Ovis aries: one gene and its partner. The protein of the gene in region 1 binds, or shares a complex with, the protein of each later gene. Links are inferred from orthologs where the notes say so. Each region holds a gene or a part of one and is shown on either strand. Other genes may lie near its edges.

Evidence for each region.
Region 2: the proteins of CAPN2 (region 1) and CAPNS1 are in contact, whole or in part, in a crystal structure (PDB 1KFU), measured with the Homo sapiens proteins. The link is inferred for Ovis aries from reciprocal best matches to the Homo sapiens genes CAPN2 and CAPNS1. Residues at the interface, in NP_001739.3 of Homo sapiens: Ala2, Gly3, Ile4, Ala5, Lys7, Leu8, Ala9, Arg12, Glu13, Glu16, Phe60, Arg366, Arg416, Arg417, Arg418, Arg420, Asp494, Ile516, Phe551, Glu575, Lys578, Val581, Asp582, Asp585, Gly588, Ser589, Gly590, Gln641, Leu642, Gln644; in NP_001003962.1 of Homo sapiens: Thr85, His86, Ser88, Asp111, Asp112, Met113, Glu114, Ser116, Thr118, Asp142, Arg145, Ser146, Ala149, Val150, Met151, Asp152, Ser153, Asp154, Thr155, Thr156, Gly157, Gly160, Phe161, Glu163, Asn206, His208, Leu209, Met212, Ile213, Arg215.

Annotation. Positions count from the first base shown.
Region 1 is NC_056065.1:26,355,667-26,359,481, reverse strand, and holds part of CAPN2 (calpain-2 catalytic subunit), read right to left. Parts: intron 2,582-3,815; coding exon 2,412-2,581; intron 693-2,411; coding exon 681-692; intron 1-680. UniProt on the Homo sapiens protein: Calcium-regulated non-lysosomal thiol-protease which catalyzes limited proteolysis of substrates involved in cytoskeletal remodeling and signal transduction. Proteolytically cleaves MYOC at 'Arg-226'.
Region 2 is NC_056067.1:46,107,531-46,111,345, forward strand, and holds part of CAPNS1 (calpain small subunit 1), read left to right. Parts: intron 1-53; coding exon 54-111; intron 112-208; coding exon 209-273; intron 274-1,656; coding exon 1,657-1,725; intron 1,726-1,830; coding exon 1,831-1,909; intron 1,910-2,049; coding exon 2,050-2,166; intron 2,167-3,624; coding exon 3,625-3,683; intron 3,684-3,815. UniProt on the Homo sapiens protein: Regulatory subunit of the calcium-regulated non-lysosomal thiol-protease which catalyzes limited proteolysis of substrates involved in cytoskeletal remodeling and signal transduction. Essential for embryonic development.

The DNA of each region.
Region 1 (3,815 bases):
ACGTATCTCAGTGCATCCCAACAACCTGGTAAGGTGGATGGCTAATCAGTTTTACTGACGAAGAAACGGAAGTTCAGAGAGGACAGGTAAATTGTCCAAGGTCACACAGCCTGCAAGTGGCAGAGCTGGGAACGGGCTCCAGGTCTCTTGCTATGTCTCCCCATCTCCTTGTAACACCACTTGTAGGGCTCATCATTTCTCTTTAGGCCAGTTTTTTTTTTTGTTTGTTTTGGTCATGCCATGAGGCAGGTGGGGCCTTAGTTCCTTGACCAGGGATTGAACTTGCGCCCCTGCACTGGCAGTGCAGAGTTCTAACCACTGGAAAGCGAGGGATATCGCTCTAGCCTATTTCAGGAGCATTACAGGACTCTGAGAAGAGTCTCCCACAGTCCCAGGACCAACGAACCTCCACCCAGGACTAAATGTGCCTGACTCTGCCGGCCTCAGGGAGAAAGTACGTTCCATGGGGACTGCCCTGGACCCCACCCCATGTGCTTAGACCCTGAGACCTAGGACCTGAGCAACCTCACCAGGGCTCAGGGGGCGGGGGTGGGTATTCACTCTTCATAGACACGAGCCCCTGCCCAGGCTTCACGAGACCCCAGAGCCAGTAGTCTAAGCCTCTTCCTTGTTGGTGAACCTGAGCCCCAAGGATGTGGGCTGTCGTGTGCCAGACGTACCTCCTCTGGAACCTGCAAATAAAGGAAAGCATGTGTAATTCAGACTCTGGAAGAGCTCCGTGAAGAAATGTCACCACTGAGATTGTTTCCTTTGTTACCCTACTCCTTCTGTAGCCTTAGCAATAATAACAAGTCATCAAAATAATTATTTTCCAAGGAACTCAAAGCATTCTCACATTTTAAAAAATTTTTAAAAAATTCTTAGGACTTGGCAAGAATGAGGATGAGCCCTTATCACCATTCCTAACTTACAGAGCATGAAACCAAGGCTTGGAGCTGTGAAGTGGCTGTCTATGGTTACCCAGCTGCCTGCAGCAAAGCCTACACCCGGCCTCCCCCCAGGAAAAACAGAGCTGAGCTGCTTGAAGAAGCAGCAGGGTGTGCTCTGGCCTAGAGCCAGCAGGTGTCAGTTCTAGGTTCCTGTTGGCCACCTCCATCTGTATTTCCTCAAGTAACTCACTTCCCTTCTCTGGCCTCAGTTTCCTTATCTCTAAAATGGGATCAAATGATCCCCCAGGTCCTTCTCAGATTGCAGCCTATGGCTAGATTTCCTAGCCTGTGAGTGGTGGGGGTAGGGTGGGATGGGTGTCACAATTCAGTCTGCATTTTTCTGGCGGTTATTCTGTCCCAGCTCTGAAGTCCTCAGCTCCTACTTCAGAGACTGAGGAGCTTGGAATTGTGTGCATTTTTAGCAAAGATGGTGTTTGCCCAACTCCACTTGTTTGTGGGTGAGAAGGTAGATCACGGCCCTGATAAGCGAAGTGAGTGGAGAGCCTTCTCTCTGACACTGTGCCTGACTCCCATGTGCTGTGCTGGGAGCCCAGCTCTCAGGGTATGGTGGGAACCCTAATTTGCAATATTTGCTAATTCCTAAGTGTAAATACTGCCCACTCCTTGCCAAGGTCATTTTTGGGCTGCCAACGAGACTTCACTGAAAGGTGGGGCCAGAGAGAGTGGGCCAGCTCCAGCACATCACCAGGGCCCCCCATCACACCGATCTGCACCCGACTTCAGTGGCTCTGAAGTCCTCCTTTCACCCCTCTTCTCCCACTGCTCACCCCAGGCTGGGAGAAGCTCTTCTCTGTGCTGTAGAAAGGAGTGGGGAGGGGACCCAGTAGTGGCAATGACGTGGCTGCTCTGACTGTGGCTGAGCTGGGCTTTGGTTTATTTTGTAAAGCTCCAGAAGAAAGGACATGGGGCCGTCACCGTGCCTGTGTGGGGGCCGGGCTCCACCTGCGGAGCCCTGGTTGGAACCTATGACCAGCTAACTACTCCCCTCCCCAGCGCTCTGCCATCAGAGCGGACACTGTGGACTCGGACCAGAGAGGCACCTGCTGGCTCATTTCTCGTCCTCACGCTGGTGCCCGGTGTGGTTCCATATGCTCTGTCCTCAGTTCACATCTATTCAATTTACTGGAGGTTGATGACCAACCAGAGTGCCAGGCCTGGGGATGTGAGAAGGGCTACAGAGGCCATTTGATACCGTGGGACCTCCGGAAGCTGGCTGCAGGGAAAGGGGGGCCTCCAGTGACACAGACCAACTGCAGGGACCTCCCTGCATGACTTCTCCTAAGACTGGCCTGGACCCTGGCTTTGGTTTCCTTTGGCCAAGCTTCTGGTTTAGGGCCTCCTCCCCAGGTCTGCCTCTGGGGTTGGCAGAGGCTAAGAGCTGAGACCCAAGGGAAAGCGGAGCCCCGCCCCGCCCCTCCCATGGATGCCCCGCCCCCATACCTCATAGATGCCGAAGCCAATGGTGTGCATGTCCTCGCCCATCTTTCTCTGCCGCCGGCGGTGCTTCTGGATGAGGCCCACCAGGAAGGTGCAGCCGCTCTCCCCGTCCTCCTGATCCTCGTCCTCTTCCTCCAGCTTGATCAGGTACTGAGGGTTCATCCAGAACGTGTCTGCAGACAGAGAGGGCCGGGGTCAGTCACCCAACACACAACACACGGGATCCCAGCCCGGCAGGTGTGCATGGGGGGAGGAGGCTGCTGCGAGTGGGGTGAGGGTCGGGGGGAGATGGCAGAGGAACCAGAGACCAGGGCTGGAGGAGGGGGTGCATTTCTCACCCCGGAACAGGGTGGTCAGAGCTGAGGCCCAGATCTCCTTTGGCTCAGCTGTGACATCCCCTGCTTTATCCTCCCCTCACTAGGCTCTCACTCGGGGGTCAGAGATGGCTTGGACGGCATGGCTAGGGAGACTTGGGGACTAGCTCTGAAGCCCCCTCAATGAACTAAAGGCCACGAACATCCAGTGCACAATCTCAGCCTCTTGTTCTGTGTCCCTGTCCTCCTGGGCCTGTGCCCTTGCCCACTCCCATGGTGCTGGAAGGAGCTGAGATTCATTCATTTAAGGATAATTAATATGATTGCCTCCTCTTCCTTGATGGGATAATACTTGGATTCTGGAAATAAAGGCATCATCTATTATGTGTTAGTCACTCAGTCGTGTCTGACTCTTTGCGACCCCATGGACTATAGGTTGCCAGAATCCTCTGTCCATGGGATTCTCTAGGCAAGAGTACTGGAATGGCTTGTCATTGCCCTCTCCAACATCTAGTATTGGGCTTGGCAAACTATGGCTCTATGAGCTGCTAGTGCTTAAAGGCTGACTGCTTGGGTTCTTAACCCCAGGCACAGTCAAGGCTGTGGGGCCTGTGGGCAAGTCATTTAACTTCACCAAGTCCCCTCATCTTAAAGATGGAGATGATAAAGTGCCCGCCCCAGAAGTCTGCTGTGAAGACTAGCACCCAATGTGTATTCCGCAATCGGCAGATGTCATCGTGATGAGACAGTTTCTGAGGTAGAGAGGGCAGGGGAGGACTGGGTCATCGAGGCAGAAGAGTCAAGGGAATCAACAAAGGATGAACCAGGAGAGGAATCCTCACTGCCCCCTCTTCTGAGTAGGGCCCCATCAGCATTGGCTGAGTGAACTGGGCACTAAAGTTTTGCCAGGCAACAACCAGGGCCTGGATGTGCAGAGACCCAGTGGGTGAGAACCTCTGCTGGGCTAAGCTGCTTGGGTTTTGGGTGGATAAAGTAGCCCACGGGCATGAAGTGGGGTTAGTGCTACCTCAGCGTGAGGTCACGGCATCAGGGAATCTAGGGCCTGGAGAGGAATCACAGACTCAGGATGTCT
Region 2 (3,815 bases), on another chromosome or scaffold:
ACCCTCAGACCCCTTGCAGTCACCCCTGCCCCATTCCTAACTTCTCCCCCCAGGACATGGAGGTCAGCGCCACAGAACTCATGAATATTCTCAACAAAGTGGTGACCCGACGTGAGTGACCGGGGTTAGCAGACAGGGCAGGTTTGGAGGCATGGTGGCTGGGGTAGTTGTGATCTCTGGCCTCTGACCTTCAACCTGTATCCCACAGATCCTGATCTGAAGACTGATGGCTTTGGTGTTGACACATGTCGAAGCATGGTGGCTGTAATGGATGTATCCTTGAGAGTAGTCTGGTGGAGAACTTGAGGATGAGGGAATTTTCTTTGGCCATGCTGCGTGGTTTGTGGGATCTTCATTCCCCAACCAGGGATTAAACTGGGGCCCTGACAGAGTAGGGAGTCCTAACCACTGGACTTCCAGGGAATTCCCAAGAAGGGATTTTCTGCGAGAGTGGCTGGGGCAGTCAGGGTGTAGCTTTCATACCCACAGATGTGGACACGTATACATTAGAACACACACCCACCTATGGACATGTGGCAACACATAATAACATCAGCTGTCATGACTGGCACTTTACTTACATTTACTTGACAGCCACCTTGTGGGACAGGTATGATTATTATATTCCATTTTACAGATGAAGAAACCAGGCAGGACCTAGAGAGGCAATCATTCAACGGACCTTATAACCTTATAACCCCACCTTGTAACTGCCATAGGTTTGCCCACATGCACACACACATATATAAGGGCACACCCACATACATGAAGATATGTAGAGGCGTGTGCATGGGAACACACATCATTCACTGATTTTGGACACAGACACATACTGCATGCACAAAGCATTATAGACACACACATATATGCATGTCATGTGATGACATATATGTGTTGTCTAGGGTGAAACAAATGCAGCTCAGCCTCCTAGCAAGGTTACTGAACCTCTCTGTGCCTCAGTTTACCTCTTGATAAAATTGGGTGAATGATAATGGTGATACCAAATTGGCGTTTCATGCAAAAGGCTTAGCACAGTGGGTAGCACAGAGTAAGTGGTCTCCACACACTAACTGTTACTATGATCTCACCTGGGTAGATTTTTCAGCTCTGAAGCTGTTTCTCTGTCACCCAGATACAATACTGATGGGGCTGGGATCTTGAGGATTTAGTGAGACAAGTGATGTTCCTGAGAAGTTTAGCACTATCTGAAGTCATGTGGTAAGTCTTGGCCATTGTTGCTGTTTACTGAGAATTTATCAAGTGCCAGCCCTGAGCTGAGTGAGGGCTTTATACCAATATCTCCTTCACTTTTTATCACAAGTACGTCAGGTATTTACTCTTATCACCTCATTTCCCTAGAGTTCTAAGATACCCTGGTGTTTTACATGTCCTAACATTTGTAAGTTTGAATTACTATCAAAGAATGTTATAAATGAGGATTTCATGTGATTATGTGTAAAGAGAGTCTTTATCATTTAGAAATACAAACTAAAGTGCCTATGGGCAAAAAGAACAATGAAGCCACACACAAGGTGACAGGACGAGGGTGGGATGGGAGCTGGGGTTTTAGCCCAGGCTCCCCTGCTTGGCCCTTACCATCATCATGTACACTGTCCACACTTCTGGGTATGGCTATTCTTAACACCCTCCCACCAGAGTGATACGACTGGTAAACTGGGCTTTGAAGAATTCAAGTACTTGTGGAACAACATCAAAAAGTGGCAGGTGTGTTCGGCCTCTGAAACGACTGACACAAAGACAGTGCCCCAAGCCTTGGAAATGCCACGCCCCATGAGGCCCAGCTGAATCCTGACCTCCTTGTCCCCACAGGCCATATACAAACAGTTTGATGTTGACCGTTCAGGGACCATTGGCAGCAGTGAACTCCCAGGGGCCTTTGAGGCAGCAGGTGTGGCTGGCAGGAACATGGTGGGACTGGGGGTGGGAATGGTGAGGCAGCCTCCACTGATCTGGTCTGAGCCTGAATCCTGGGGCTGGGAGAGGGTTCGGCTATGTGGCCCCCACACCTGTTAACTAAATCGTTCTCAGGATTCCACCTGAATGAACATCTCTACAACATGATCATCCGACGCTACTCAGATGAGGGAGGGAACATGGATTTTGACAATTTCATCAGTTGCCTGGTCAGACTGGATGCCATGTTCCGTAAGTGACACCCCAGCTCTCTTCCCAGGTGGGGATTTGTCAAGCCTCCTTGGGCCAAGCCTCCTTTGAGCCTGACACTGAGGTAGGCAGTGTTAGGGGCACAGCAGTGACTGAAACAGCCCATGTTCTTGCCTTTATGTTGCTCACAGTCCACAGGAGAGGCAAATTACCAGACAGTGGCAGCTCGGGATGGTTAAGTCTGGGATCGGGGAAGCCTTTGCAGAGTGATGGGGGCTGTGAGGGGAAGGTCAGGGTAGATCAGGTTTAGACTTGTAACTGGGAGCTCTTCAAACTTAACTAGGCAGCTGATGTAGCTTAAGTGATCAAGGAGGCCTTCCTGGAGGAGGGAGGGCATGTGTGAATTGAGACCTGGTGGGTAAGAAGTGACCCCAGCAAGCGAGTGGGGAGCAGTGTTGCATTGGGAACAGCCTGTGTGAAGGCCTAGAAAGGAAAGAGGAGATGGTGATCTCGGTGATGGTTAGAGTATTTATTTCATGGAGGAGGAACCTAGGGTTTGAGGAGGCGAATTTCTTGCTCACAGCCACTTAGCTAGAAGTTGCAAAGCTAGAATTTGAATGCAGATTTGTCTGAGAGGGGGCAGGAGCAGTGGGATGGTCAGGCCATGCAGGGCTGTGAATGCCAAGTTTGAAGGTGCTCAGACACTAATGCGGACAGTGAACAGGGTCTAGGCAGGGGAAGAACAGGGTCTCAGGTTTCCTTTAGGAAGATCTCCTGGCATGCCAAGAGCCCAGGGCGGACAGTATATTAAGAGCATGCAGGGAAGAAAAGGGGCATGTATGTTGGGGACATGAAGGGAAGGTGGGAGAGGACAACAGGGCAGATGATGCCAAAAGCCATGTATGAGAGGGTCAAGAAATGGCCTGGGGTTTACCAGCAAGAGGGCTAGCTGCACATGGAGTGTCCAGGGTACCACACGCGTGGACCCCCAAGGGTGGTAATTGAGCCGTGAGTGAGAGAGAGCCACACAGACTGTGGGCACCTGTTTACATACAGGTTTGGCTGTGAGTGGGGAACATGGAGATGAGTTTCAGGGCAGGAGTGGGGACCACAACAGACTGTAGGAGCAGGAAATGCAGAGCCTCCTTCCAGTAGATTGTTTTAGCTGGAACTGGAGGTTGGTAGGGGGCTGGGGCTTGGGCAGAGGGTGATGAGGGGCGTGAAGGTCAAGATATGGAGGCCATTATTGAGATGAGTAGCAGTCTGGGTTCCAATCCCAGTTTCCTTTTTCTCTATGTAACACAGGGACATCACTTCACCTTTCTGTGCCTTATTTTAAAATGACACTTACCTCCCAAAATTGGGTTAAATGAATTCATACACGGAAAGCACTTTATACAGGTGCTTGCCAGAGTAGACAGACTACTAGCTGTTAGTATTATCATATATTAGTATATTTTAATCCTAAAAGCCAGTCCCACCAACCCTTCCTTTCCCCAGGTGCCTTCAAATCTCTTGACAAAGATGGCACTGGACAAATCCAGGTGAACATCCAGGAGGTAAGAACCCCCATCTCCACCCTGGGATTGGGGATACTAGCAGAGGGCCCCTCCCCTCAGCCCCATGTACCAGCTTGGAGCTAGGGCTCCCTCCCTCCCAATTTCCCAAAGACCCCTGGGTGAGAGCAGAGA